5 linked regions of the Sus scrofa genome follow. The protein of the gene in region 3 purifies or fractionates together with the protein of the main gene of each other region. This does not show direct contact. Links are inferred from orthologs where the notes say so. Each region holds a gene or a part of one and is shown on either strand. Other genes may lie near its edges.

Region 1 (6,374 bases), on a different chromosome or scaffold from region 3:
AAACCCTTTTTGCTGGTGTCCATCAAGTACCTTGTTCCAAATACTCCAAACTCTGCTTCTGTCTTTTGATAATAGTGCACATTCGCCCGAGGGCAGCGCGCTTCAGCTGCTTGCAGCGGTACAGAGAATCACCGTATTTCATGAGCCGCACATAATCTTTAGCAACACTGAAAGAAAGAGGAAGAAATACATAAGATTTTTTCATTTTTGACAGTAATTTAAAAGCTACTGTATAAAAAAAAAATCTTACTTGTCCACTAAATTTTTGGCAATGTTTATCTGTCCTAGAGCCAATTTGTAATGATCCTTGTCATACAGAATGTTCATCAGATCAGCATAAAATGGATGAATATCCTACAAAGAAAAACAAAGCGGTCATTTTGGCACAGGAGTGTCTCATTCCTATGTGTGAAAAATACTTGAAGGAATTCCCACTGCAGCACCTCACTGCAGGAGTGGCTCAGTGGGCTCGTCCTGACTAGTATCCATGAGGATGTGGATTTGATCCCTGGCCTCGCTCAGTGGGTTAAGGATCCCCCATGGCCGTGAGCTGTGGTGTAGGTCGCAGACGCAGTTTCAATCTGGCGTTGCCGTGGCTGTGGCGCAGTCCGGCAGCTGCAGCTCAGATTTGATCTCTCCCCTGGGAACTTCCACATGCCTCAGGAAAAAAAAAAAAAAAAATCTATCCCCAGCCCAGCACAGTAGGTTAAAGACCTGGCATGGCTGCAGCTGTGGCACAGGTCTCAGCTGTGGTTCAGATTCAATCCTGGCCCAGGAATGTCTACATGCCACGGGTGCAACCATGAATTTTTTTTTTGAAAAAAGAAAGCACACTGGCTGCCATTAGGTGATGAAGCAACAAGATCACAAATGCTGGTGAGCCTCAGGCCACTGTCCCAACTTGAGGCCACAGGAAAAGGAGCCTTGGAAAAAGGGGGCAGGGGAAGCAGACAAGCCAGTGAGACCACAGCACTGCGGGCTTTGGGCCCATAGCTTTTAGAGAGCTCAGCCGAACCCCATAAACTCAGAGGTTACAAAGCCTTGAGACCAGGCTCTGGGCCTCAGATGGAGTTAGACGGGGAACCAAAGGACCTGTGTTCAGTTCCGAGGTCTGCCACTAACTCAGCAGGTGAACTCCTCCGACAGATCCATCGTTTCCTCCTTCCTTTGTTATCTGTCAAATGAGCACCCAGCCTGGTTTAATCCTGACAGTCTGAGGGTTCACATTTACATAATCGCTTATGACCCTCGGTCACGTACATCCAATTTGGGGAAATCCGTCAGAATCTGCGAGAGTCTGTCATGGTAATTCTGCTGAGTAAACTTGACTTTCCTCATATAAAAATGTCTGATGCGATGGATCTGGTAATGTTTATGAATAACCGTTGGAGTCTTTCGTTGAGTCTTCGACAATGTCAGGTCAATAAAGTCCTGCAATTAAATAAAGTAAGACACAGTTACACCAAAAAGTCTACTTTCATCCACTTACGTGAAACTGTCCTAAAAGATTAAAATTTAATGATGCTGTATGTTTCATTTTATTTTTTTTGGTTTTTTTTTTTTTTGTCTTTTTACCTTTTCTAGGGCTGCTCCCGCAGCATATGGAGATTCCCAGGCTAGGGGTCGAATCGGAGCCGTAGCTACCGGCCTACACCAGAGCCATAGCAACGCAGGATTCGAGCTGCGTCTTCGACCTACACCGAAGCTCAGGGCAACGCTGGATCCTTAACCCACTGAGCAAGGCCAGGGATCTAACCCGCAACCTCATGGTTCCTAGTAGGATTTGTTAACCACTGCGCCACAACAGGAACTCCTATTTTTTGGTCTTTTCGTCTTTTTAGGGTCACACCCGTGGCATACGGAGGTTCCCAGGCTAGGGGTCTAATTGGAGCTGTAGCCACTGGCCTACACCACAGCAATGCCAGATCCGAGCCCCATCTGCAACTTATATCATAGCTCACAGCAATGCCAGATCCTTAACCCACTGAGCGAGGCCAGGAATCAAACCTGCAACCTCATGGTTCCTAGTTGGATTCGTTTCTGCTGCGCCACGATGGGAACTCCATAATAATACTATATATTTTAAATCACAAACCATTTTCCCAACTAAATTTTCAACATAAAACCTTGCTGATCTTCATAGTTCCTGGTCTTTAAGAAACAGTCAGCAAACAGCTGCTAAAATAAATTTTATCCCATGCTTACCTGACATTATCCTAATTTCCAAATACCTAAGAACCCCTGAAACTTTAAGTAGCCAAACTACTCAAGCATAAATCAGAAAAAATATCTTAAAATAATTGAGATCAATGAGAGAAATAGAGTGACAAATACATAAGATCAATAATATGTGGAATCTAATAAAAATGATACAAGAGAACTTACAAAACAAAAACAGACTCAAAGATGTCAAAGCCAAAATTATGTTTACCAAAGGGGAAAGGTGGGGGGAAGGGATAAATTGGGGGTTGGAACCGATATATACACATTACTACGTCCGTGGCATATGGAGGTTCCCAGGTTAGGGGTTGAATCGGAGCTGCAGCTGATGGACTACACCACAGCCACAGCAACGCCAGATCCGAGCCCCATCTGCAACCTACACCACAGCTCATGGCAGTGCTGGATCCCTGACCCAGCTCTAGGAGTTTATTAGGAGTTCCTGTTGTGGCACAGCGGAAGTGAATCCGACTAGAATCCATGAGGATTCTGGTTCAATCCCTGGCCTTGCTCAGTGGGTTAAGGATCTGGCGTTGCCCTGAGCTGTTGTGTAGGGCAGCAGCTACAGCTCTGATTCATCCCCTTGCCTGTGAACTTCCACTGGCCACAGGTGTGGCCCTAAAAAGCAAAAAAAAAAAACAAAAAACAAAAAAAAACAAAAAACAAACCACAAGGAATATAATAGCTGAATAAGACATGATAGCTGGTCTCAAATACTTCATGACCAATGGGAAAAAAATATTTAAGTGAATGGTTAGAATGCAATTTTATAAACACCGACTGAATCTACTAATGAAAGCCAAAAAAAGTGGGTGATGTATAGTGAGCTGGACTTTCGCTCTACAATTTTAAGTATCTCAAGTTTTAGAGGAACTATTTTTTTTTTTGTAATCCTAACCATAAAGAGAACTTTAAAATAAAATGAAATTAAAAGGCGAAACTTTCTTTTAAAAAGAGAAACAGTTCTATTTCAACTTGCACACCTTTGGCTTTGAAAGTGCATAAGATAAACAGGTAAAACCAAAAGCCACTATTTATTTCCTAAGGGATGTAAGGTGATTACTGACAGACACGAGCAGACAAATTCCTGCAATAATGTCAGGAGCACCGGGAGGGACCTCCACCCCTCCTCCACCTGGCTGTCTACGAATCCTTAGGGACCAGTTCAAAAGCTACAGGCTCCATTGACGTTCTCCCTGACTCTCCGTCTTCTCTGGAGGAACCCTAAGGTCTGATGGAGGACCCTAACCCCCAGGGGGCCCAAACCTCTGGGGAAGGACCCCCACCTCTGGCGGGACCCTAACCTGGGGGCCCTAATTCCGAGAGAACACGGCCTAAGAAGGGGGCCTGGGTGGGGGGGGAAGTCGACCTCTCTCTGTTCAGCATTACAGACCGCCCGCCCCACTTTCCCGCGCCCCGGCCAAGAAAGGCGAGGGCAGAAGACCCCAGGGCCGCCTACCTTCGCGGACGGCACCACCGTAATCTTCTTGAAGTTGTAATGCGCCATGCCTGCGACTAGCCACGAGGGACAGCGGTCCGGACTTCCGCCAGGGTGGGCGGCGAGGGCGGGACTTCCGCCCGGGCGGACGGGACTTCCGCCGGCTGCGCGTCACTTCCGGGCTCCCCCTGTGCCGACGGATGGTCTCGCCGTTGCTCGGCGCCCCCTCCCGGCCGGAGGAGGGTCGCGGGGCCGGGGGACTGAGGGAGCGCGGGAGGCGGGGCACGTTCGGTGGGGAGAGGCGGCGCCGAAGCTCCTTCCTGCCGCTAAAGGAGCGGGTCCTGAGAGGCCTCCCTGGAGGCCCGGCGGCTGTTGGGCTCAAGGCCCGGCCGCGAGCCCTGTCTGGCCCGGCTCGGGGGGTCCCGGGGGTCCCGGGAGCCTGCGAGTGTCGAGGGGGTGGTCAGAGGTGTTTGGAAGGCTCGGGGGACCCCGGGAGCCTTAGGGGGCCCAGGGTCTCGGAACTCAGGGTCCCGGGGGTCTCGGGGTCGGGGTGACGGCCGCTGGCGGGGTGAGCGGAAGGCAGGGGGCGCGCGGGTCTGCGCTTTGAGCGCTCCTGCCGCCGGTCCCCTTGTCAGCGCGACTGATGGGCGCGGGCGGAGTCGGCTGCGGAGGAGGGACGCGTCGCCCCGCGCGTCTGGGTCCGCGCTCGCGACCCCACCCCGGCCGGCGCTACCTGCCAGCCTGAATCGGGAGTGGCCTGGGGCTGCGGTCCTCCGACGTGCCTCCCAGCCAGCGGCCCTGAGCTTCCGACGGCAAGCCCCACGGCTGAAAACTGCTGCAGCGACACGGGGGCCGGGGCCGCTCACCCCCACAACCCCCACCCCCCCCATCCCACCCCCGTGCTGCTCTCGCTCGGCGGGCTGGGGGCGCTCTCTGCCGCCACCTAGGTTGGCAGTGCCACCGTGACTGGGGACGCGCGCAGGTCCGCCCGCCGGGGGTCTGCCTGTGTGTGTTTGCTGAAGTGGCTGCTCGGGGGTCTGCCTGTGTGTGTTTGCTGAAGTGGCTGCTCATGAAGAGCACCCACCGAAGGGCAAAGAGGTGAAAGGTTCGAGGTTGCGGTTCTCCTTCAACGAGACACCGGACACTCGGGAGAAGAGGAATCACCCTAATGCCGTGATGTGGCGTCTGAGCCTGGGCTGCTGGAGCTGAACACCACCGACGGGGCGGCTGAAACCACTGTGGTCGCTCCTCCCAGCTCTGGAGCCTGGAAGTCCACGTTCAGGGTGCCGGCAGGGCCGCCCTCTGCTGAGGGCCCTTTTCCAGGCTCGCAGACAGTGCCTTCTTGCTGTGCGGTGGGAGGGAGCCTCTCCTTCAAAGGTCCGAGGCTCCACTTTCTTCCTCTTCTTTTTTTTTGTCTTTTTGCTGTTTCTTGGGCCGCTCCTTCGGCACATGGAGGTTCCCAGGTTAGGGGTCGAATCGGAGCTGCAGCCACCAGCCTAGGCCAGAGCCACAGCAACGCGGGATCCGAGCCGCGTCTGCGACCTACACCACAGCTCACGGCAACGCCGGATCCTTAACCCACTGAGCAAGGGCAGGGATCGAACCCGCAACCTCATGGTTCCCAGTCGGATTCGTTAACCACTGCGCCACGACCGGAGCTCCGGTGTTTGTTTGCTTGTCTAGGAACCTGAGGTTTGCTGAAGATCCTCAGGCTCTTTTCTAAGAGCCAACACAAGGTGATAACAAAAGTTTTGGAATCTGTGTACTTATGCTCACATGATTAATTTCCAAATGATTCTAACCATCGACAGGCAGAATCTCTTGAGATGAACATTCTGCGCGACACCCAGAGACTCACAAGCTCCATGTCGAACAGACGCCTGAGCTCTCGGGGTTAAAGAAAGCAGGCTGAGCTGCCCACCTTCAGGGTGAAAAAGGCAAGAACCTAGGTTCTGAGGACAGGATGTTGTTGGCACAAGTCAACTACTGGCTGTGACGCTCCGCATGAGGAAAGCATGAGGTTCTAGCAAAATCTCAGTTTCCCAAAGAGTGGACATTTAAAGCGTCTGTGCCAGCCTGACACTGACTCGTGCAGCAAGAGCAAGCTACGTGACCTCACCACTCTTCGCTCCGAGTTACAAACATAATATTTACTTACCAGTCTGTGTGCTGCGGTGACAAACAGTACCCGGGTCTCAGCATCGTGTTGTTCTCTGGTGAGCTGCGCCCTCCCGGAGTCACAGGGCCGCTGTTCTGGAGGGAGGGTCGCAGAGGGAGCCAGGCTGCTCCGGTAAATCCCACCAGGCTCCACTGGGGAAAAGAGAGTTTGATGCTGGAGCCTCGATTCATTGGCCAGAAATTCTCACAGGACAGGACGTGCGAGGAAACAGCAGGAACGGACTCATTTGCCAGCAGTAGCAACGCTCACCACCGGAGCCGCCACGGCAGGTGCGTCCCAGACGGACGCTCAACCAGTAGGGCAAACACTGCGCAACATAGAAGACGTGTCATAGTTCTCTACTGAACAACAAAACCTGAACTTCAGCCAAACATCTTGAGGGGCGGGCGTTAAACCCTTTTCTGTTCACCCCTCTCAGGCCGTGAGGCCCACACTCAGCCTAGAGGACAGGAGAGGACCAGCACCTGGCAGCCTCTCCTCTCTGCTCCCCGCGCCTTCCTGTGACCCCAGGGGTGGCTGATGCCACCGAGCCGAGGT
Region 2 (5,602 bases), on a different chromosome or scaffold from region 3:
TGGGGTTTCCTCTTCTGTGTTGTTCTGGGCTGTTTCTGGGGCAACTTCCAAAGTCGAGGCGGACGGAAGCTACTTAGGCCAAAAAGGGGTGGGAGCACGGGGAGAAACGGAGTCAGAAAACAAAACCCGAATGTCTGAACTTACACACTTTGCTCTTAAATGAGGTAGTTCTCCTCTCAGGCCCAAGGGAAAGGATGGAAAACGCCGGCATCTGAGTCATCCTGTTAGATCTATTCTGAGCCAACATACATTAAACCCTGAGCCCAGCACTGAAGGGTCAGAGGAACACAGCTGGGGTCCCAAAGAATGCACCAACCCCAAGAGTATTTCACCATCAACACCAACCAACGACACCCTGCAGGAGGCGAGATTCCCTATGTCCCCGAGGATCGCGAGGAATGGGGTTGCCAAGGAAAGCACAGCCAGGCTGAGTACACCCCACAGGCTGAGGGTAGGCACTGAGGCGGCACTGGGAAGGGAGGGTGTGAAGGAGGGGCCGTCCCGGGAGGACTGAGAATGAGCCCTGAGGTGGGAACGGGTAAGAAAGAGGCTGAGAGCTGGGGCCTCCCCTTCAGGGAAGGGTGAGCAGGCCTGGCACTGCGGCTTCACATAGGCAATATTCTCATAATATTAATATTACGAGAATATTATGAATATTCTTATAATATTAATATTACGAGAATATTATGAATATTCTTCCCCATTGTATTCTCGTAACTGAGACTCACAGAACTCAAGGAATTTTTCCCCAAGGTGGGGTGGCTGCTCAAAGCACTGAATGCATAAGGAAGCCATGAAACTCAGGAGATTGCACACACAGTTCGTGTGCGCCTTGTCATCCATTTCGCGGGCAGAAGCTGGTAGTGATAGCTTTCGGATGCTCGAGGGGGTTTCTGCCACCACCAAGAGCAAAAGGCAAGAGTCACAGAGTGGGGGAGCTAGTCACCTAACCCCAATGACTAGACACACAGCAAGAGTTAGAGAAAACTCTGCCGCTTCCACACAGCGTCACAAGGGAGCAGAGATGGGCCTCCTCAGACCCAGAGGCTTCCGCCGTCACTCGGTGCTCCCGAGCCCGCCAGGGGGCGGCCCCATGACTTCTTCTAGAACCAGACAGGTCAGACTGGCTCCACCTCAGGTGCACTGGGTCCACTGCTCCTGATGCCTGGAACACTCTCCCCTCCGCATCTATGTGGCTCCTGCCTCAGATCACTAAGGTCTCCGCTGCAAGGTCACTTCCTTCTCAGAGGCCGTCCTGACCACCCCGCTTACAAAAGCCCTCCTTTGCCCCCCATAAATCCTTCGCCCTGTCTTAGTTGCCCTCACAGCAATCGGTATTTCCTGACACTATACGCTTATTTGTTTACTACCTGTCTCCCTGCAGTATAAATAAAAATAAGTATTTGATGGCCAAAGACATGAAAAAAATGCTCAAATCACTAATTATTAGAGAAATGCAAATCAAAACTGAGGTACCACCCCATACTAGTCAGAAAGGCCATGATTAAAAATGGCCATTGTCACAAATAACAAATAAGAAATGCTGGGGAAGGTGTGGAGACAGGGACCCTCCAACACTGTGGGTGGGAATGTAACTTCGAACAGCTACTATGGAAAACAGGACCGAAGTCCCTCAGAAAACTTAGATATTCCTAAAATAGAGTTACCATATGATCCTGCAATCCCATCCCTGGGCACATATCCAGACACAACTACAATTCAAAGATGCATGCAGCCCTATGTTCAGAGCAGCACTGTTCACAGCAACCAAGACATGCAAACCTCACTGCGCGGAAAGACCTACCCCAGAGGAAGAGACGGCAGTCCAAAGACACCACACCAGGTCGGTGCCCTCGCTTTCCCAGAGGCAGGTCCACCCTGTTCTTACCTGGGGGGTGGCCGGGGGCTCAGCATTGGGCGGCTTGACAAAGAAAGGAATCCGGCCCCTCTGCCAGTCATTGAGGACCATCTTCCCCACGGTCCGCAGGTCGGGCTCTCCACCCTGAAACGTCACAGGGAGATGCCCAATTAGATCCAAACAGCATAATCAGAGTTCCCTGCGGGCCTAGTGGTTAAGGACATGGCAACGTCGCGCTGTGGAACAGGTCTGATCCCTGGCCCGGGAACTTCTGCATCCTGGCTGTCCCAGTTGTTCACCACCATCTATTGCCAAGTCCCACACTTCAAACTCCTCAAACATGCATATCAAAAAATGGTCCTTACCTCCCCCCTCCACACCCCGCCGCCCCCTGTGCCTGCGGCTCGCCACAGTCTGAATTCTCACAATTCTCAGTCTGGTTCACCTTTAATAACTTCCCTGTCCGGAAAGCCAGCTTCTCAAGAAAGTCCTCAGCATTCTCCCAAGAATCGATCTTGTACGTCTTGCTGATATATTCTGGCTTTGCTCGTTCAAGTACAGCACCAATGTGGTCTTCAGGAGTCTTAATTTTTTCAACTTGAACCTAGACATTGATGGGAAATCTCTTGCTTACAAACTTTATTATGGAAGCAGTGAAGCTCCCCAGTGTGCTCTGTAACAACATCTGAAAAGAGATTTCAACACCTCAAAGCAAGTGGGGCCTGGCAGGAGCCTGTCACCGAGGTGGCACGATGGTCGGTCGGCTGAAAGGAGCACCACAGAAAGCTGACCCCGGCACAGGACCATGAACTCAGCTCAAATCGCAGCGCACCACAACCCAACTGTGCAGCTTCCGCAAGCAGTTTCAACTTGGGGTGCTTCATGCTACTAACTCGCGGAAATGGTTGAAAGTCTGCTGGTCCCAGGACACGGAGAGAATGGCATAGTTTAAGACAGGAGGGGAGGAACGGGCACAGGATGTATAGCCAGAAGCCCCGGTTAAGGTTAAGTGGACCCATTTAAAGCGCTTGGTCGTCTTCAGAAACAAGTGAGGAAATGACTGAGTTCCAACATGACTCAACCCATAAACCCACGAAGATGAATTATCGCTAAACATAAACAGGCCCTGCTTCCCTCTGGGTCCCGTGTGTAAACTCCAAACTCTTTTGTGGGATGACATTGACCAGATATGCCCATGGTTCCACTAACTCCTCAAACAGGCTTAAGTGGAATGGAGAGGCCGCCCTGTTCAGTGTCATGTTCCTCAAGTTTGGTCAGACAGGCTGACCCCAAACTGTCTGCTGAATGAGTACAAAGCAAAGGTATCCAGCGTCTCCCACAGAATGCTCCCCCGCCCCCCGCCACCAAAGGCAAACAAAGAACCTCTGGGGACCAAAATACTCACGACTCCTTTCAGCACGATGTCCGTCTCTGAGTCCTCGGAGGGGTAGACCACACCCGGACAGTCGATGAGGAAGATCCGCCGCATCAAGGTGATATACTGCCAGACCTAAGGCGGGAAGGGTTGACGCCTGATGCGCATGAAGCTGCGGTGTGTGTGTGTACAATGCCAGACCTAAGGCAGGAAAGATGAGGCTGGCAGGGGGGTGGGTGTGGGTCAGGGAGGAGGTGTGTGTGTGTGTGTGTGTAGCAACCTGCCCAGGGAGGAGGTGTGTGTGTGTGTGTGTGTGTAGCAACCTGCCCAGGGAGGAGGTGTGTGTGTGTGTGTAGCAACCTGCCCAGGGAGGAGGTGTGTGTGTGTGTGTGTGTGTGTGTGTGTGTGTGTGTGTGTGTAGCAACCTGCCCAGGGAGGAGGTGTGTGTGTGTGTAGCAACCTGCCCAGGGAGGAGGTGTGTGTGTGTGTGTGTGTGTGTGTGTGTAGCAACCTGCCCAGGGACCAAGACCCTCTTCTATCTGTGCTATGCATGAGGCCCTTCCACAAAGCACAAACTACAGTTACTAGAAATGATGCAAAGGCAGGATCTCCACAGAGAATCATGCAATCGCGTCCAGCAAAGCTTTCTCTGATTCTGAAAAGTACTCCTGGATGTCTGACACTGCTTGGCCCCTGTTCTTTCAGCAGAACCAGGCGCTCCCCAAACACTCCATGTTCCCAGGTAGGGCCCTCAACTTGCCAAAATCCACCAGAATGCCGTTTTCTTTCTTAACCCAGGCATCAAATATCTTTGGGTTAGTTTTTTCTTTGTCTTTTGTCTTTTTTTTGTTGTTGTTATTTCTTGGGCCGCTCCCTCGGCATATGGAGGTTCCCAGGCTAGGGGTTGAATCGGAGCTGTAGCCACCAGCCTATGCCAGAGCCACAGCAACGCGGGATCCGAGCTGCGTCTGCAACCTACACCACAGCTCACGGCAACGCTGGATCGTTAACCCACTGAGCAAGGGCAGGGACCGAACCCGCAACCTCATGGTTCCTAGTCGGATTCGTTAACCACTGCGCCACGACGGGAACTCCTGGATTAGTTTTTATGTTTGTTTGTTTTTTAGGCCTGCACCAGTGGCATATGGAGGTTCCCAGGCTAGGGGTCTAATCGGAGCTACAGCTGCCGGCCTACACCACAGCCACAGCAACTCTGGATCCAAGCCTCATCTGCAACCTACACAACAGCTCACGGCAGTACTGAATCCTTAACCCACTGAGCAAGGCCAGGGATTGAACCCACAACCTCACAGTTCCTAGTCGGATTCGTTTCCACTGTGCCACGATGGGAACTCCTTTGGGTTAGTTTTGTTTATCAAAGTAAAAGGCTGGAGTGACAATCTGACATAGACTCCAATGGCACATACCACATCATGCCAAAGGCATGCCGTGGCACACAAACTACTCTTAGTCTTATCACAACGGGCAGAAACCGCTCCTAAAGGCCCAATGGTGAGCTTCATCCAGGAGAAGCAGATAGAAATCTCCACATCCTGCATGATCACCCTCCATGGAAATAAAACATGTGCAAGTAAGACCCTCGGAGCCAGATGTACCTTTGTTTCACCTGCGATGGGGGCCACGTTGCAAACTTTCTTGGAGCGCAGCGTGTTTATCACAGAGCTCTTGCCAACATTGGGATAGCCGATGAACCCCACGCTGATCTGCTTCTTGTCAGTGTGCAACTGTTCAGAAAAAAAAAAAAAAAAAACCACCTTCACGCAGCCTGACTATCCCTGGGGACAAACAGGCTGTGTTCCCTGGCTAAGATAAAGAATACAGCACAAAACTAGAGCTACAATGTGATTTAAAGCCCAGACGAGCACCACCTGCTTTGTCGGAGTGGGATGCATACATACACCCATCAATAAATCAGAGATGAGTCAGCTCCCCAGTCACTCGTGTAAAATTATTCTTGCAAGTTTTAAGGTTAAAAGAATGTAGGCTGGGAAACAGGAGGAAACAGCTTGTTAACGAGTGATTTAGAAGCACACCATCCACCGAAGAAATGTCTTCAGAGATGAGAACCTCAGCAGATCCACCAACTGGCAAGCCCGTGACCCACCCCTCCTCTTCTATGTACAACGCAATTTGCATTTTCAGGGCCAAAAATAAACAACGAAAGAAAAAAGAAAAAAAAAAGGGGGGGAGTCTCAAAAGTTAGCCTGCTAGGTGAAAGTATCACGGGGGCAGAGCTCAGGGAGGGCGCCCACAGATGGCCAGGACTTCTGACTAGAGACGGCAACTGAGCATCCACACCCGCCTCACTTTTCCACTGGATGAACAGCAGTGGGAATCAACACACGCAA
Region 3 (5,602 bases):
CTGCCCGTCAGCTCAGTACTGCTGTCCAGTAGCTGCCATCCTTTGCTGTAACACGTGTGGTCTCCTTGCCCAGGGTGGCCTGGCCCTAGGATAAAGACTTAGGGTGCTAGTGTTTTTAAATGAAAGGTCAAGACATATAAGACACCCGAGCCCAGGAGACAGGGTTCTCAAACGTCTTAATGCCGCATCTTTCCAGCTTTTCTAACAAATACGCATTTATCAAGAAACATCATCATTGAACGTTTGATTAAATTCATCCCACATTTATTTAGTCCTTTGAATGAGTTGAGTCTTTGGTTTTAGGCAATGCCAGCAGTCTTCAATTGGAGGGATTGCTTTGTAATTGTGTAGCCTTTCCACTTCTGAAATCGTTAAGCCTGCCCCAAGACTTGCCACACCCTGTCTACTGTGCCCTTAGGGTGGGTTTGAGCTGGCTCTAGTTTATAGCCCCTCCCTCCCACCACAGACTCAAGTATTTCCCCCCCTGGGCTGGATAAGCTCCTGACAGACCTGATCTTCTTAGCGGGCGGGCGGGAGGCCACCCTGCCCCTCTTCGAGATCAAGTATAAAAACGCAGCCCTGGCTCCGAGAATCCAGAGGAAGGCACTGTGAGACTGGGCTCTGACTCTCTGCGAGCCACCCATTCTACCTTAAAAAAATAAACCAACAGATTTCTAAATGTGAACATCTGCCACAAAAGACCAAGTGAGAGGGTTGGAGGGAGAGGTGTTCTTCCCACGGATGTGACCGCGTGTGGCTAATCCCCAGAGGAAAACGTGTTTCTCACATATTCCGGGCATCTTTTCGGTCAACATCTCTGGCTTCTTTCAGTTGATAGACGTAGTTTCCAGCTTGTCCCCCCGACCTTCCATCGCAGACTGCAGCTCCCTTCGGCATCTCAACGCTTGCCTTCCTCCTGTCCCCTCTCCCCTCCATCAAGACACAGAATAGACCCAGAAATGAGGGTTGGAAAGCTCTAGGCCATAGCTTCCATTTGACAGGTATTTTTTTCATTGTGGAACCTCGTTATGGAAGTACATTTTAAGTTTTGCAGCAGACAATTTGGCTCATCTTTGCAGCTGCTTCTGCCTTGTGTGTACAGTGACAGTCCATTTCTTGGTGACTGATGGTTTACGCTCCTGCTTAGGCCACAGTGCCCCTAGCGGCTGGTTCCTTCACCGTTGCGGTGTGGGCTCGTCTTCTGTCCTTTGTTCTCCTTGAGGGGGCGCTGGCTGCTCCTGACGCCTGCTGGTAACCGCCCCCATCAGTTCCCGTCCTGGCTCAGTTGTGGCCCAGCGGGTTAAGAATCCGTCTAGTATCCATGGGGATGTAGGTTTGATCCCTGGCCTGGCTCAGTGGGTTAAGGATCCAGCGTTGCTGTGAGCTGTGGTGTAGGTCGTAGTAGACTTGGCTTGCATCTGGCGTGGCTGTGGCCTAGGCCGGTGACTGCAGCCTGTGGTCTTGTCCGTGTGGCTCCCAGAACAGCCAGGTTTGCTTTCCTCTGGATTCCCTGCTAGGCTGTAGCTGATCACGTGTCCTCTCCTGCTAACCTACCCATGGTGAGCAGAGGAAGGGGTCCTGGGGTCAGGGGCCTGAGTTTTGTATGTAAAACAAAGTTTTTCCAGGTAAACTGCCCTCCAGCAGGGCCCCTGGGTGCAAGAGGCCTCCAGGAGAGACCCCCAGGGCGGGTCTTCTTTCACCCTGCAGCTGCAGCCAAGGAGGTACATTTCCATTCAAGGCGGAGTGCGTGGAAACAGCCCTGATCCTTGCTGCACTGTGCCCTCTGCGGCAGAGCCTCAGAGCCGGGGAGGGGGGTGGGGGAGATGGTGAATTCACGCAGGAGAATTCTCCACCAACTCATTCGTGCTGAAGCATCCACAGATGAAGTCCTAGCCTGAGACAGGTTATACTGTATCAGTTTACTTGATCCTGACCTTCGTGGTGGGGAAGCAAGTGCTGGGCCGGACGGTTGTTCTCCATACTTACAATGCAAAACGACAGCCGTCTTTCAGAACAAAGTGGTCGGGAGATGGCGTAACCCTGGAAATGTCCCCTGGCTTCTGGCATGCTTTCAGATGAAGTCATGTTTTGCTGAGCACACCTGTCTCCGTGAAACTTCTGAATGGGAGTTATGTGTATGTGAGGGCCCCCTTAGCCACGGGGCAGCGCTCGGGAGCCCTGGGTTTGGGGCGCCCTCCAGTGACCCAGCGCCCGGCCTAGGGACACCTGGATGTGAGCCAGTAAGGGGCCATAGCCATGCCCGTCCAGTCAAACCGAGGGGAGCGTCCTGCTCTAACACCTGTGGAGACATTGTTAGGCCTCTGTGGATGCTTTTTGTGCAGTTATTTTTAGGCCTCTTCTCCACTTTTAAACCTCCCCGTTTGCTGTGTCCTTATTGTATTTGGGGGCCTGAAATAGTCCGCAGCACATACCTCGGGGCATTAGAGAGAAAGAGGACACGTGTGTGCCCTTCAAGTTACTGGAAAAGGCAGGAGATTTCACTTGACGCGCCCCCAATGCTTCATCTCCAGCGCCAGCCCACAAAGTGTAAGTCCTGGTTCTGCCCCTGTGCCACCTTGGGTCAGTTACTTAACCTCTCTGAGTCCCAGGACCTCGTGTAAGGTGTGAGCCTCGGTAGTCCCTCCCTCAGGGGTTGCTGCGAGGGTTAAATTGGTTGGTTAGTGCTTGTTAAGCTCTTAGACTAGGGCCCGGCATGAATTACTTCACACACACAAGTGTTAGCCATGTTGTTGATAATTTTACTTGCTGTGGTGGTGGAGTTTTATGTGGATTGCTGTTCAACTTTGGTTCTGTTCTGGTGTTATTTTCCGATGAAAAGTTAGCTGTGTGAATCATATATTTTGGAATAGAAGTTTCAGATTGCAATGATAATTACCTTTTTTCCTTTTTAATTTTTTTTTTCCCTAGAACAAGACTTAAAACCTGTCTTGGATAAGAAATATTTAATCAATCATTTAGCTAAAAATGGTATTTTTTACATGCAATGCATGCGGTGAATCAGTGAAGAAAATACAAGTGGAAAAGCATGTGGCTCTTTGCAGAAACTGTGAATGTCTTTCCTGCATCGACTGCGGTCAAGACTTCTGGTGAGTTCCAGAGGGTTCGTGTAGCTCCATGGTCAAGGTCCAGGCCAGTTTGGAAGCCCTGGACCCACAAAGCATTAAAAAAAAGTGGAGGCAAACTTGAGGAAAGAAATGAAGGGAAAAAATTACAAGTGCCTTACAAGACCATTTGCTTTTAAGGGTGATTTACAGAGATGACTCGGGTTCGTTTGGAGATCTGGTCGGCCGGTGGCACTTGCTGTCATTTCCCTGCGGCCCTCCAGATCCAGGGAGGGGACCACGTGGAGTAAGGTTTCAGGGTTTCAGGGCATGGTGTGGCGATCGCAGCCGAGAGATGGACGTGCAGACCAGAAAATGAGTTTATTCAATCATTAAATCATGAGAGAGGAGACCAGGTCCTCCCGAGAAAATTGGAGGTCGTGTTGGCCGGGAGTGCGTGGGGGGCTCTGGCTGAGGGGTCTTGGGGAGGGGCCAGGTCTTGCTCTTGTTTGGGGGGGCCATTTGCTGATGGCTCGCCTCCCTCTCGTGCGGGTTCCTTCCAGCTTCAGAGGATTCGGGGATGGCAGCCTCTGGGGCACGTGGGGGATGTTTGCTAAGAGTCCCTTTAAGTTCATTGTAAAGCAGTGATTTTTTTTTTTTTAAGTTTGGAAACTACTAAGGTCTTTGTTCATCCCTGATCGTAGGCGGAGGGTGGGGAAGACAAGTGAACACAGGGTTGGTTTTCGTCGGGGGCTTTGGCCTCAGCCTTGTCCCAGCATTTCCCAGAGGATGGCACAGAGCTTCAGAAAGAGCGTGTGAGACAGAACCCAAGTTTCCTTTTGTCCCAAGACTCCAAGATCCAGGACTTTTTTGTGACCTGATATCACCGCCCTTTTAACTTACTCTGCAACTGGTATTGATTGCCTATCATATTGCCAGGAAATCCTACGGATTTTGTCATTTAAGATAACGCCACCCTATTGCCTATCAGTGATTTTAACACCTTTGTATATGAAAATGGGTGGCAAGTTTGGTGACGGGTTTGGAACAGTGGGGAGGAAGGAAACTGGTATGACCAAGAGGTTATCTGCCTGGTACGTGACAGAGATGGGGGGCCGGGCCGCGCACAGATGGGAAGGTGAGCTGCACGGCAGAAGGGCAGCATGCTTGCGCTGGACAGAGCCTCTGGTTTGAGGATCACTAATGGTGGGACTTTGACACTTTAAGGGGTGACGACTACAAAAACCATGTGAAATGCATAAGTGAAGATCAGAAGTATGGCGGCAAAGGGTATGAAGGCAAAACCCACAAAGGCGACGCTAAGCAGCAGGCGTGGCTTCAGGTAAGGTCTTTCTAATGCCTCAAGTAGCTTCATCTGTCATCTTCTACTTTCCTTGGAAGCCTAAGAAATGAGGAAAAATGTATCATTTAGAATGGATAAGCAATGAGGTCCTCCTGCATAGCACAGGGAACTATATCCAGTCGCTTGGGATAGACCCTGATGGAAGATGATATAAGAAAAGGAATGTATTGAGTTCCCATTGTGGCTCAGCGGTTAACGAATCTGACTAGGAACCATGAGGTTGCGGGTTCGATCCCTGGCCTTGCTCAGTGGGTTAAGGATCCGGCGTTGCCATGAGCTGTGGTGTGGGTCACAGACACGGCTCAGATCCCGAGTTACTGTGGCTCCGGCGTAGGCCGGCAGCTACAGCTCTGATTAGACCCCTAGTCTGGGAGCCTCCATATGCCGCTGGAGCGGCCCCAGAAAAGGCAAAAAGACAAAAAAAAAGAAAAAAGGAATGTATGTATATGTGTGACTGGATCACTTTGCTGTACAGCAGAAGTTGGCACAACATTGCAAATCAACTATAATTTATCATCCGTGTATCATGCCTCAGGATAGTTCTTTTTTGTTTGTTTGTTTTTTTAGGGCTGAACCCATGGCATATGGAAGTTCCCAGGCTAGGGTCGAATCCAAGCTGCAGCTGGCGGCCTACACCACAGCCACAGCGATGCCAGATCCAAGCCTACGTCTGTGACCTACACCACAGCTCACGGCAACACCGGCTCTTTAACCCACTGAGCAAGGCCAGGGATCGAACCGGAGTCCTCATGGATACTAGTCAGATTCATTTCCACTGCGCCACAATGGGAACTCCCAGGATGGAGTTCTTTATTCCTCTTTCAGTACAGGTGCAGTGTATTTTGTCTTTGTTGCACACGTTTTGCTGATTTCTTGCAAAAATGTTTCCAAATTGTCACTAACTTTCCCTTGGCAATGGAACAGACACTTCTTAATCCGCACCTGCGTCTGATGGCGGTGCACCTTTTATCACTCAAACCCTGTTAATCCGGACGTCTGACAGTCATCAGAATCCGGCAACATAAAGACTTTTCCTAAGTATGAGGAATTTTCCATTTCTAAAACAAAATGAAAACATACAGTGAAAGTGGCGAAAGCAATGAAATCCGTGATTTACTAAGAGGTATAACTTCCAGAATGTTACTTACCATATACAAAATAGTAACTGGAGGAAAGA
Region 4 (6,273 bases), on a different chromosome or scaffold from region 3:
CCTGGCCAGGGAGTGAATAAATGCTGCCACCAGGCCCTGGGCACACTTTCTACACATCTGAAATATCCCCTGATGGAAAGAAGAACTGTGTGAGATTACCAACATGTCAGCACGGCCTGTCCCTCCTGCCCGCCCACCTCTTTCTTTTAAAACTTGCTCAGAAAGCTCTTCATGTCGAAACTGAAAGAGCATGAACACTGACGAACTCAAGAGCAAAGACGGCTTAAATGACACCAGTTCCTGCATGAGGCCAGCTCCAGGGCCTTCCTGGTTTCTGCCAAGCAGCTGCTCTGTCCCCCTCTAGGACAGGCCTCCGGGATGGGGCAGTGGGCTGGGCTGGGCTCACCCGAGTGGAGAGAGCGGCCAGCTGGCTTGTGCCAAAGCACCAGAGTCCCCTGGCCACAGGGCTGGTGCGAGAACAGATGGTCACCTGCCACAGGCCAGGATCCTCTTGCCCCCCTTAGGGAGACCAGACCCGCCCCCCCCCGGAGACCTGAAGAGATGACCCAGGTGGATGCCCGTGAGAACGGAACCGCTGGGGAAGCAGAGCGGGGTCGTGTGCCTCCATAGGGCTCCCGCGTGAAGCTGTGCTTCCATTTTTCCCTGAAAACCAGCAAGGCTTGGATGCTCTATCAAGTTCCAACCAGTAAGAACACGTTTTTATTGTAAAAAAAAAAAAAAAACATACACTATGTGAACGTGTACGATGGAAAGTGCCTCCCACGGCCAAGCCCTCGCGGAGGCCCATGCTCCCTGCCTGGTGGGCATCATCCCATGTGGTCCCAAGAGAGCGGGCACAGAAATGCACGTGAGGACGGGGCCAACGGGGACCTGGCCACCGCGCATACCTGTCTGAAGCCTGGGTTGGGGACAGCATGTCAGTCACAAAGGTCCACTGGAAAGTGCTGTGTCCAAGGCCCCTTAGGGCAACCGTACAGGCAACAGGCTGCACACCCTCCCAAGACGGCTGCTGTCTGCAGGCCCCACGAAGAAAAGAGCAGTCGGCTCGACTGGCCGCAAATCAATTGCTTGTTGATTTTTTAAAATTTTTATTCTTTGTCTTTTCTTTTAGGGGCAAAGCAACACCAGATCTGAGCTGTGTCTGCGACCTACACCACAACTCAAGGCAATGCTGGATCCTTAACCCACTGAGCGCGAGGCCACAGATTGACCCCAAGTCCTCATGGATGCTACTCAGATTCGCTTCCGCTGAGCCATGACAGGAACTCCAATTTGTTTCTAAAAATCAAAGCTATCTATGTTGCTAAAAGACAGTAAGACTGCCATTTCGCACTGCCTTTACTGTGCCTAAAACAAAATACAAAAACTTAAGCCTGTTAGTGAGACTCAGAGGTCAGGCCAAGTTACCTCCACACCTGTTTCTACTCTGATGGAGCACAGCTGTGGCACGGATCTTGTTTATTTCGTCCCGTCATCACCGTCAACGAAACCTTATTTAGTTTTGGTTGTGCCCGCGGCACTTGGAGGTTCACTGGCCAGGGCCCGAACCCAACCGCAGCTGTGGCGAGAGCCACAGCAGCGACAACGCTGGATCCTTAACCCGCTGAGCTGCGAGGGAGCTCCTACGACATGCACTTTGCGTTTACCTTCCTCGAGGCCCACTCGGCTCCCCAGACTGCGGATGTGGTGTCTAACAGGAAGCAGCTTGAGGTGTGATGGGCGCTCGCCAGGCAGGACCCTGGGCACCGCTGCATGCCCTGGCCTCCTGCCCCCGCAGCACCTCAGCACTTCAGAGCCAGAGCCTGTTCCCCACAGAGCTTTGAGCACCGGGTCCTGTCCGGCTGCCTCAGCCCTGTGCTTCTGCATCTGGTTCCTGTTCTTGTGCCCTGGCAGCCCTGGGACCTCGGGATGTGCTCCCGCTTCCAGCTAAGGAAGCAGACAGAGGCTTACGGCATTTTGGGGGAAGAACGACACATCAGCAGATAAGCTAAGTGCCACAATGGGGACATATCAGACACTTCAGACTTGTAGAGAAGTGGGGGGAGAGGACAGGGAAGGCATTTCAGAAAAGCGATACTGGACTGACTGCTGTGAGTGGATCAAGTGGGCGGGGGAGCTTTTCAGAGTGAACAGAGGCGAAAGTGGGAGAGTGTGGAGGAATGGTGTACGGTAGCCCAGGACCCAGTGTGAAGCAGCCGCACAGGGGCTGAGGTGGGGGACAGAGGAGGACATGTCACCACCAGCAAGGCCAGAACTTCAGGAAGGTGGTGATACAGTTGTTTCAGGAAGATGCGCCAGGCTGTTTCATGGAGCGTGGGTTTAAGGGGGCACACATGCAGGTGTTAGATCAGTTAGGAGGTAAGCGTGTCAAAGCCTCGATGAGATGGAGGAGCCTTCAGTAAGGGCAGAGAAATTTAGGAGATGCGACCAAAGGACACTAGATGCAGGGCTGGGGGACAAAAAGAGGAAGAGGCGTCCAGGACCATATACCCTGCGTCCAACTGGAGTCTGAGTGGAGGATGGGAACTAGTGCCCAAAATAAAAGAGCAGAAGAAGATGAGCCTCTGTGGGGCATTCTGAAGCCTGAGGACATCCAGGTGGAGGTGCCAGGTGGGAAGGGCATATCTGAGCTGCAAGCAGCAAAGGTCTGGGTTAGAAAGTTCGGTTTAGGAACACACAACATTTATGGAATAAGAGGAAATCAAGTCTGTCAGGAAGACCCTAACAGATTTGAAGTCAGGAAGTCTGGCTTCGTTCCTCTTCCTAGGACTTCCCAGGAGAGTTTATCTTCTTTTTCCCAGAAGCCTTCAAAAGAAGGCTAACTGAGCGATCAGCACAGGGGGAGACATCCATTCTTTAAAACAGACTCAATGTATTAACACTAGCAGCAAATCGGACTTTTCCTCAGTGCAATAAAAAACTTCACCGCACTGTAATCCATGCCTTCAAAGGTTTACACCGGACCGGGTAAATACGATTCCTCAATGGCACCCCGCTGCAGTTAAAACCCAAACTGAAGAGCCCGCTGTGACCTGGCCACTGCCTACTTTCCCAACTCGCGTCCTAACACCCTCCCTCTCTCTCACTTACCGCTCTTCCAGCTCCTCATTCGTGCCCCGGCTCAGATCTGGAGAACATCACCCCGAGAGGCCTCCCTGCAACAGTCTTTGGAGAGGAGCTTCCCCGTTCCTCGGTTTTCATTTCCTTTACTCCACTTACACGAGTTCCGTTTCAGTTATCTATTCCCCCCCCCCCCCGCCAGATTTCCCGGGATAAATTCCTCGGGGGTAGGGATTCGGACTTCTCCGTCCTGGTCAACTGAAGGCGTGACTCAAGGAAGAGCGCACCAGAATCAAACAGGTGAGTGCACTGATCCCACGTGCAAGCTCTGGGAGGGCAGACTGGGACGGTTCTCGGCTTTCCGGCTCACCGGGACCCTCAGCGGACCACCTAACCCCCTCCGCCGCCGCCGCTCAACCGGAGAACCGGTGGAGACCCCGCAGGAAGTGGACACAGAGAAGCACACGGCTGTGCCGCACGCTCTCCCCGCTCCGCCCGCGGCTCCCCGGGCCCGCCCCCCACTCCCGCCAGGACCCCCCCCCCACCGCGGCTCCCTCCCCTCACCCCCGCTCCCCCACCCCGGCCGCCATGTGCGCGGCGGACCGCAGGGAGCCCACCTGTCTCCCTCTGTGTCTTCACGCTGATGTACTGGCGCAGCTTCTTCACCGCCCGGTCTCGGATGCCCTTCTCGTGGGACGCCAGCCGTTGAGCGAACTGGATCTCGGCCGGCTGCATGGCGGGGGCCATCGCGCCCGTTGGAGCATCCCCGGCCGCAGCCCGCCGCCGCCGAGCGCCCGCCGCCGTGCCGCGACTGCGCAGAAGGCGCCGGCGCGCGGGCTGATGACGTCACAAAGGCGCCGCTCGCCGCTCGCAGAGCGTTCCGCGAGCTGCGGGCCGGGCCCCGGCGGAGCGACGCTCCTCCGGTGCGCGTCGCGCCTCTCCGCCGCCGCCGCTGCCTCTCGGTCGCCAAGGCTCGGGCCGTTGAGGGCGAGGTTAGCCAGCGCTGGGTGTAGGCCGGGAAGAGACGGAGGGCCAGTTTTGCGTGGTCTGGAATCTTGCCCACTTCACAAAATCTCCATCCAACCGACCCGCAGCTGTTCCCGGGAGATACACGGCACCGGGTTTTTACGTTGGCCTCCTCGGGCCGCGGTGGGAACGGGGTTCTGGCGGGAGGTTGCGGGCAGCCCGCTGGAGGGGCGCCCGGAGCCGGGGCGAGGACTGGGTGCGTGTGCTGGTGCGTGCACCCGCGGGCCTGGAGAGCGCGTACTCCGGGCACTCGGACAGTGTCGGCTTGTGTCCGGCTTTGGACAGAAGTCCTAGTTGTGCGATAATCGGTACCTTTTTTTTTCTTTGGTGTTTTTGTATTTTTCCAGGGTCGCACCCACGGCATATGGAGGTTCGCCGGCTAGGGGTTTAATGGGAGCTATGGCCGCCGGCCTACACCACAGTCATGGCAACTCGGGGTCGAGCTGCGTCTTGGACCCACACCACAGCTCACGGCCACGCCAGATCCTTAACCCACTGGGCGAGGCCAGGGATCGAACCTGCAACCTCATGGTTCCTAGTCAGATTCGTTAACCACCGAGCCACCACGGGAACTCCCGTAACCGGTACCTTTGAACCCAGAGCTTGCACCATATGTTACGAACTCAGTGGGCATATGGGGGCTAGTGAATGGACCAAACGATGTCTCCCAGTCCATGGGGTCGTCTCAGTTCCTTAACCTGCTGGCCGGACTGAGGCTCCCTTATCTGGGGCAGACACCGCCGCCGCCGCCGGCGGAGCCTGTTGTCAGAAAGCTTCGACCTTCGCGAATGGAGTTTGGAGCTGAGCGCGCGAGAGGGGCCGCCGGCGGCTGCTTCGCGTGAACGCATGGCCCCTTAGTCTAAATAACACCCCTCGCCAAACATCAAGGACCCGAATCGAGTGATTTCACTGGACACTGACACGTGGGTCTCCCTGTTCTTCTTTGCAGTTAACAAGTTACGACCTCGGCCAAAGCCGGACGAGCCCACGCGGGATCTCGCCTCCACACCCCCGGCCCGTGGGGACCGCGATGCAGCGAAAGCTCTACGAGGTCTGAGCCTCGCGGCTCCCCGTACCTGACCCCGGCGTGGACGCGTTCCCGCGCTCGCCGGCGTGAGGGGTCCGCGCGTGCGCGCCCGCGCAGGCGCACGGAGCCGAGACCGCGCCGCCATGGGCGAGGCTGGCGGCGCTGAGGAGCCGCGCCGGGTCAGTGCCGAGGCTCGGGTCGGTGCCGAGGCGCGGGCCGCCGCCCGCGAGTTCGCGCTCTTGCCCTCGGCTCCCCCGCGCTCAGCGGGGTCTGCCTGGGCCTTGCTCGGGGGCTCGGGGAGGCCCCGGACGTCGTCTGCGGGCAGCGTGGCCAGGGCCGGCGGTGGGGGGCGGCGGCTCCGCCTCCGGAAGCGCGGGGGCCGCGGGATGGGCGGGGGCCGTGCCCCGGTGCCCCTGCGCCGCCCCCCGGGGGCCCCCCCCGCACGGCCCTGAGGCAGGCGGGGCAGGCGGGGCGCGGGTCGGGGCGAATCGGCCGCCCCAGCGGGAGCTCCCCTCCGGCCGCGCCCTGGAGCTGCGTTCAGGGAGATCCCAGCCTCCCGGCCCGTCTCCTGGCGGGTTGCGAGTGCGGGGCCGGGTGGTCAGCCCGGGGCTTGGCGCCCAGGGGGAAGGGCCTTTCCTCCTGGGAAGCTTGGTGCTGGCGCCTAGGAGAGCGCTGCCGGCGTGTTCCTTGGCCTTCGGGAATGGGGCCTCGCTCGCCCTGACAAAGTGGCTCGGAGGTCCCGTCGTGGCGCAGCGGAAACCAAGCCGGCTCATCACCGCGAGGTTGCGGTCGGTCCCTGGCCGCGCTCAGTGGGTTAAGGAGCCGGCGTTGTAGGCCGCAGACGCAGCTCGGGTCCTGCGTGGCTGCGGTGTAGACCGGCAGCTGCAGCTCTGACTGGACCCTCGCCTGGGAACCTCCCTGTGCCGCGGGTGTGGCCCTAAAAAGACACACAAAAATCGGCTGGCGATTCGAGGCCGATTCGAGGCCGGGGCTTAAACTCGGGAGGCGGAATTGCGGGGCCGAGGGCTCCTCCGGGGAAGCCGCGCTTTCCCAGCAGCCGGGAGCCCGAGGCTTTCCGGAAGGACGCGGCCGCTGCCCGGCTGGCTGGGCCGTCGGAGGAGCAGCGCGCTGGTGCCAACATGCGCTTGCTCTTTCAGCTCGTGGGGGCGAAGGAAGAGTTTGTCAGGGTGAGGAAGAAG
Region 5 (6,160 bases), on a different chromosome or scaffold from region 3:
AGCACTCCCATGTCTCCAGTGTCCCCGGGGGCTGCTGCCCCTTCCAGGGGTTTTAAGGAGGGGGCAGTGTTGGGCAGGTGGGAGTCTCCAACCTGGAGGCAGGGGCAGAGCAGGCCCAGCAGCGATGGTGTGCATAAAGAGCATGCATGGCGTGTGCACTCACTGATGGCTCAGGACCTGGTCAGTTGCCTGGACTCGAGTTCCAAATCTTTTATCAGCTACGGAGCCTAAGGACGATGAGGAACGAATACCAGGGCTAGCGTTTGGATCCAGTCTGGGTAGGACAGGTGGGAGAATGCCATGCCCCAATGCCCCCATGCCCCCAGCCTGGGCTCTGAGCCCCTGGGCAGAGCAGACAGAGCCTGGGCATTGCTGGCATGTCCATTCTCCCCTTCAGGCCACAGCTGCTAATCTCCCTCGAGAGGGCTGGGAACAAAATAAAGATCAAGTCTCCTGGCTCTCATGTGCCCTTCCTGCTGCTTGGTTAATTTCACATCAGCTTTTGAGGTGCCTGTGGTCCAGGCTTCGCCCACAGATGCAGAGCTGGTGCCTGGTGATTTTTTGCTCCCCCCCTGTTCTGCTTACCTTCTGCCTCCTGAGGCACCATGTGTACAAAGTAAACTGCTTATTCACATTTTCTTTTTTTTCTTTTTGTCTTTTTGCCTTTTCTAGGGCTGCTCCCGCAGCATATGGACGTTCCCAGGCTAGAGGTCAAATCGGAGCTGCAGCTGCCGGCCTACGCCAGAGCCACAGCAACGTGGGATCCGAGCAGCGTCTGCAACCTACACCACAGCTCACGGCAACACCGGATCCCCAACCCACCGAGCAAGGCCAGGGATCGAACCTGCAACCTCATGGTTCCTAGTCAGATTCGTTAACCGCTAGCACCACAAAGGAAACTCCCAACTGCTTATTCACATTTTCTGAAACAGACAGCAGAGGGAGGGGTTGAGAGGGTGAGTAGGAGGTGCCCCGGGGGCCACAAAAGGGGCCGGATCTGGGTAGCCAAGGCCCTCCCCTCCCTGCCTCCCTAAGGGCTGGGGTCTCTCTGAACTATAACCCTCTAGAGACAGCTTGTCAAGCCAAGAAATAGGGGTGGCCAGTAGCTCTCCTCTCCTGCACTGTAAACGGTATCTCTGATCTAAGAGGACTTTTGATCCCACCACCTCTCCCTCCTTGCTCCCCCCACAAACACTAGTTCCCCCAGCTCAGTAAATGATATCACAGTCTACCCACTTTCTTTGTTTTTCTTTTTTTAGGGGCCACACCTCCAGAATATGGAAGTTCCCAGGACAGGGGTCAAATCGGAGGGAGCTGCAGCTGCCGGTCTACATCACAGCCACAGCAACGTCAGATCCAAGATGTGTCTGTGACTTAAAGCCTCCGCTTTCGGCAACACCAGATCCTTAACCCATTGGATGAGGCCAGGGACCAAACCTGCATCCTCACGGATATTAGTCAGATTCTTAAGCCACTGAGCTACAAGGGGAACTCTCACAATCTACCCACTTATTTTGGCCCCAAACCTATCATCCTTCTCTTTTTCATCACCTTCTACCAGCTCCAAATTAGCTGGAATTTTCTCATATTACCTTGGTCCAATCCACCACTGTGCAACTGGTCTTCCTGCTTCCACCCCTGCTCTCCTGCAATCCATCCCCCACACAAAGAAGACTAGTCTGCTAAAAGTATGGATAGGATCAAGACTTGTCCCTGCATAAAACCCTCCAATGACTTCCTATTACAATCAGAATAAAATCCAAACTCCTGAGCTCCCTGAGTGAGCGCGGAAGGGCCCAGCCGCCCCCGGCCCGGCCCGGCCCCGCCCTTTCCCCCGCCCCCAACCGGCTCCGCCCCCAGCCGACCCAACCCAGTGCGCACGCGCCGCGACCTGACCCGGAAGAGGCAGTCTTCAGGTCCCACGTGTTCCACGAGCATGGCGGAGACGGAGAGTATGGACGTCGCTGAGCCTGTGTCTCCGGTGGAGGTCCCGAAGACGGGCGCCGGGCCTGCCGACCGTCATGGTCTGCTGAAGCACAGCCGCGAGTTCTTGGACTTCTTCTGGGACATTGCGAAGCCGCAGCAGGAGACGCGGCTTGAGGCCACGGAGAAGCTGCTGGAGTATCTGCGCGCAAGGCCAAAGGTGTGGTGGCGGGGCCTGGGGCAGGAATCTGCGGGGCTTGGGGGCAGGAAGCTGCGTAGATCCCGGCAAAAATATGGCGGCGGGCCCCAGGACTCGGGACTGGGGTCATGGAGTCGCGAACCTGGAGGCCGAGGCGAATGCGCGCCGAAGCGCGAGGATGGGCGGGTGCCTGACGCGTCTTTTCCCTGGTGCACCTGGGGATGTGCTTGGTTCCTCAGGGATCGTCCGAGATGAAGTACGCCCTGAAGCGCCTAATCACCGGGCTCGGGGTCGGACGTGAAACAGCCCGGCCCTGCTACAGTCTGGCCCTAGCACAGGTGAGGTGGTGGCTCCCTGGAGGAGGCCAGCCATCCTACTCGGAGCGGTGGGGAGTGAGGAGGGCAGATACGGGGGAAGTGGCTGCTGAGAGGTTGTTGGGGTGGCGTCGGAGCTAATGGAGGGTGTCCCCACGTGGACGTGGAGAGAGTGTGTGAGCAAGATCTTTCTGCAGAGACGCCCAGGCAGGTGGAGTGGGAGGGTGAGTTTGCTTTTGAGTACATGGGTTCACCAACCACCAAGGTACATTTACTGTGGGCAGTAAGCTTTGGAGTGGGTTCACTTACCTTTTTAGGGTTCAGGGTCCGCCCCCCCCACTTGGCTAATTATAGGCCACCCAGTCCTTGTGGATCAGCCTGGGGGGAGCTCAGCAGGCTCTGGGGCAGAATGTCTCGGGGATCTCGGGGCACAGTCCAGGGGCTAAAGGAAGTACTTTCTGAAACAGGGAGGCAAGATTTCTCTCCATTCACTGCAGTGTTCCATCGTCAGCACTGCCCAGCATGGGGTGGGGCGTAGGCAGCTTTTGAGGCGTCCTTTGGATGGGAGCAGGGGCCCATGGACTCTGGGCAGAAGTTGAAGGGAGAAGTGGGAGGAGGTTGAGGTCTGAGGGATGTGGCTGGGCCGCTCCCCTGAGCCCCTCTCTTCCTCCTGGCAGCTGTTACAGTCTTTTGAAGACATCCCTCTCTGCAGCATCTTGCAGCAGATACAGGAGAAGTATAACCTGCAGAAGGTGAAGAAGGTGAGAATTAGTGGCCCCAGGGAAGTCGGCAGCCCCGGGGTGGGGAGCGCTTGGGCCCTTCTCACCAGTGCCTGGAATCCTTTTCCAGGGGATGATGAGACCAGCTCTCTTTGCAAACCTGTTTGGGGTGCTAGCCCTCTTTCAGTCAGGCAGGCTGGTGAAGGTAAGAGCCTTGGGGATCCCAGGGCGCGTGTGGACTAGCTTGGGAGTTGGAGGAGTGGCAGAGCCCTGTTGACACCCTGTCCCCTTCTGGGGGGGTCCCAGGACTCGGAGGTGCTGATGAAGTCGGTGAAGCTGCTGCAAGTCCTGGCTCAGCACTACAACCACCTGCAGGAGCAGCCCCAGAAGGCCCTGGTGGACATCCTTTCTGAGGTACTGGCTCACCAGCTTTGGGGCCTCTGATTGATAGCGCAGCCTGTTCCAGAACGTGGGGAAGACTCAAGTTAATGCCTGGAAGCAGGACTGTCCACAGATACATAAATGTGCACTGTGACACTTTGTAGTAACTAAGTTTAAAAAGTAAAAAGAAACAAGTATAGTTGAGTAGCATGTTTTATTTAACCTAGTATATCTGCAGTATCACTTTAGTCTGTAATCGGTATAAAAAGTTACAGAGGAGTCGTTCCAGTGTCCTGGCTCAGTGGAAATGAATCCAACTAGGAACCATGAGGGTGCAGGTTTGGTCCCTGGCCTTGCTCAGTGGGTTAAGGATCCGGCATTGCTGTGAGTTGTGGTGTAGGCTGGCAGGTGTAGCTCCAATTAGACCCCGAGCCTGGGAATCTCCATATGCTGCGGGTGTGGCCCTAAAAATACAAAGGACAAAAAAAAAAAAAAAGGTACGGAGGTAGTTGAGGAGTTCCCACCATGGCACAGAGGATTAAGAATCTGGCTGTAGCAGCTCGAGTTCCTGCGGAGGTGCAGGTTTGTTCCCCAGCCCGGTGCAGTGGATTAAAAGACCTGGCTTGCCACAGCTGTGGCTCGGTTTCAATCCCTGGCATGGGAACTTCCATATGCCACACACAGATGGCGGCCATAAAATTTTTTTCGAAAAAGATCTATAGGCCAGTAGCTGCAGCTCCATTTTGACCCCTGGCCCGGGAACAGCCCTTAAAAAAAGAAAAAAGCTGTAGAGGTATTTTATGGTTCCTCTCATGTTAAGTCTCCAAAACCCGGTATGCATTTTACACTGACAGCACGTGTCCATTCAGAATAGCGAATTCTAAGTGCTGTGTCCATGTGGGGCCAGTGGCTGCCATATTGGGTAGCAAGAGGGTGAAACCTGTTGGCCATTATTGTCTGGGTCGGAGCTGGCCCCTTCGGGGGGTCCCCACCACTCTGCTTGGGAAATGGAGGCGGACTAGGACCTAGAATCCTTTGCTGTTGGGGAAGAGGCAGGGACTGGCACGTCCCAGGCCAAGGCTTTCTTTACAGCCCCAGCCACAGAGCCAGAAGGACCCGGAGTTCGAATCCCAACTCTTCACTTGGAGCTCCTTGTATAAGAAGCAAGCTGGTCCTGGGAGTTCCCTGGTGGTTTAGTGGTTAGGACTTGGTGCTTTCACAAAGATCCTGCACCAAGCCGCTGTATGCCGCAGCCAGGGAGAAAGGAAGGAGGGAAGAAAAGGAAGAGGCTAATCCTGAAAGACTCAAAAGAGGAATGATCAAAAGGGCACACCTGGGCCAGTGAGCGCCAGAGAGGAGCTCGTTTAAACCTAGCTTCTGGGGCTTGGGGATTTGAGCTTTTTTAACAGATACCCTCTGGTCATGGTGTCTGATAGGTAGTTGTGACTGTTCCTCCTTGGGCTGGCACTGTACCAGGGGCCTTGTGGGAGCTGGGCAGGTGGAATGGGACCCAAAGGGCTCTCCCTGCAGGGGGAGGGACCAAGGGTGCCATGAGGGAGCCCCTCTCCCTCAACCAGTCCCCCCCACACCAGGTCCCTGAGGCCGTGTTGCAGGAGGTGCTGCCGAAGGTCCTCAAGACCGAGCTGAGTTCAGTTCTCGGCTCCCCTGAGCACCTGGAGCTGTTCCTCTTGGCCCAGCAGAAGGTGCCCAAGAAGCTGGAGAAGCTGATGGGACCGGTCAACCTGTTCTCAGATGAGAACATCCCCAGGTGCGAGGGAGCTGGCGGGTGGGCCCTCCAGCTTGGCTTCGTGCCACCGCCTGGGGGGAGGCTGTCCCCACGGCCCCGGGAGCCTGGCCCTGAGTTCCCTCTGCCATCTTCCACAGGCTGGTGACTGTGCTGAAGATGGCGGCCACCTCTGTGAAGAAGGAGCGCAAGCTGCCCGCCGTGGCTCTGGACCTGCTCCGCCTGGCGCTCCAGGAGGACAAGTTCCCATGGTTCTGGAAAGAGGTGGTGGAGCAGGGGCTGCTGAAGAAGCAGTTCTGGCCAGCCAGGTGTGTGGGCGCTTGGCCTCGCTCCGTCGCCTTGCCGCTGCTCGCTAAGCGAGGGCGGGCTGGCATCTGAGGTCCCCCCTGGGGCGCCCGAGGGCTCTGACCGGGCTTTCCTGTGCCCCCTTAGCTACCTGTGTTTCCGCCTGCTGGGCGCAGCCCTGCCGCTGCTGTCCAAGGAGCAGCTGCAGCTGGTGATGCGGGGGGACCTGATCCGACATTACGGGGAACACATGGTCACGGCCAAGGTGGGTGCTCACCCCTGGCCCTGCTGGAAGGGGGCAGGTTGCCCTTGACATCGGTGGTCCTGCCCGGGGTGGGAAGGAGCCTGGGACCAGGGCGCCCTTCCCCTCCGGGTAAAGTGAGCGACCCAAGGTCCCCTCCCCTGTCTTGCCCTCTGGACCAAGTGTGAGCAAGGTCAGCAGTCTGCCCAGCCCTCCCTCCACCCCCAGCTGGTGTCCCACTCAGGAGCCTCATCGTCACCCATCTGTCCTGAGCATCCTCTCAGCTGAGTGCGGCCCACGCTCCTCTCAGTGCCCGACAGGAGAATCCAGTGGTGGTTAAGGAGCGGGGACTCA

Evidence for each region.
Region 1: the proteins of LYAR (region 3) and GTPBP4 purify together in Homo sapiens (co-immunoprecipitation; 3 studies listed by BioGRID and IntAct, with this or other methods). This does not show direct contact. The link is inferred for Sus scrofa from reciprocal best matches to the Homo sapiens genes LYAR and GTPBP4.
Region 2: the proteins of LYAR (region 3) and GNL2 purify together in Homo sapiens (affinity purification with mass spectrometry; 3 studies listed by BioGRID and IntAct, with this or other methods). This does not show direct contact. The link is inferred for Sus scrofa from reciprocal best matches to the Homo sapiens genes LYAR and GNL2.
Region 4: the proteins of LYAR (region 3) and RRP1B purify together in Homo sapiens (co-immunoprecipitation; 3 studies listed by IntAct, with this or other methods). This does not show direct contact. The link is inferred for Sus scrofa from reciprocal best matches to the Homo sapiens genes LYAR and RRP1B.
Region 5: the proteins of LYAR (region 3) and MYBBP1A purify together in Homo sapiens (affinity purification with mass spectrometry; 3 studies listed by BioGRID and IntAct, with this or other methods). This does not show direct contact. The link is inferred for Sus scrofa from reciprocal best matches to the Homo sapiens genes LYAR and MYBBP1A.

The regions. Positions count from the first base shown.
Region 1 is NC_010452.4:68,562,214-68,568,587, forward strand, and holds the start of GTPBP4 (nucleolar GTP-binding protein 1), read right to left. Parts: upstream 3,736-6,374; 5' UTR 3,728-3,735; coding exon 3,680-3,727; intron 1,432-3,679; coding exon 1,261-1,431; intron 355-1,260; coding exon 251-354; intron 168-250; coding exon 31-167; intron 1-30. Other genes in the region: uncharacterized protein LOC106505222, read right to left, coding at 3,736-3,984, 5,817-5,968, 6,302-6,374. UniProt on the Homo sapiens protein: Involved in the biogenesis of the 60S ribosomal subunit. Acts as a TP53 repressor, preventing TP53 stabilization and cell cycle arrest.
Region 2 is NC_010448.4:93,624,345-93,629,946, forward strand, and holds part of GNL2 (nucleolar GTP-binding protein 2), read right to left. Parts: intron 4,979-5,602; coding exon 4,850-4,978; intron 3,369-4,849; coding exon 3,264-3,368; intron 2,463-3,263; coding exon 2,304-2,462; intron 2,003-2,303; coding exon 1,889-2,002; intron 70-1,888; coding exon 1-69. UniProt on the Homo sapiens protein: GTPase that associates with pre-60S ribosomal subunits in the nucleolus and is required for their nuclear export and maturation.
Region 3 is NC_010450.4:6,083,537-6,089,138, forward strand, and holds part of LYAR (cell growth-regulating nucleolar protein), read left to right. Parts: intron 1-2,928; 5' UTR 2,929-2,985; coding exon 2,986-3,107; intron 3,108-4,289; coding exon 4,290-4,404; intron 4,405-5,602. UniProt on the Homo sapiens protein: Plays a role in the maintenance of the appropriate processing of 47S/45S pre-rRNA to 32S/30S pre-rRNAs and their subsequent processing to produce 18S and 28S rRNAs. Also acts at the level of transcription regulation.
Region 4 is NC_010455.5:206,626,744-206,633,016, reverse strand, and holds the start of RRP1B (ribosomal RNA processing protein 1 homolog B), read right to left. Parts: upstream 3,842-6,273; 5' UTR 3,769-3,841; coding exon 3,639-3,768; intron 1-3,638. Other genes in the region: HSF2BP (heat shock factor 2-binding protein), read left to right, coding at 5,218-5,253, 6,232-6,273. UniProt on the Homo sapiens protein: Positively regulates DNA damage-induced apoptosis by acting as a transcriptional coactivator of proapoptotic target genes of the transcriptional activator E2F1.
Region 5 is NC_010454.4:50,501,804-50,507,963, reverse strand, and holds the start of MYBBP1A (myb-binding protein 1A), read left to right. Parts: upstream 1-1,887; 5' UTR 1,888-1,936; coding exon 1,937-2,143; intron 2,144-2,361; coding exon 2,362-2,460; intron 2,461-3,113; coding exon 3,114-3,197; intron 3,198-3,285; coding exon 3,286-3,360; intron 3,361-3,461; coding exon 3,462-3,569; intron 3,570-5,128; coding exon 5,129-5,304; intron 5,305-5,420; coding exon 5,421-5,588; intron 5,589-5,712; coding exon 5,713-5,830; intron 5,831-6,160. Other genes in the region: GGT6 (gamma-glutamyltransferase 6), read left to right, coding at 1-56. UniProt on the Homo sapiens protein: May activate or repress transcription via interactions with sequence specific DNA-binding proteins. Repression may be mediated at least in part by histone deacetylase activity (HDAC activity).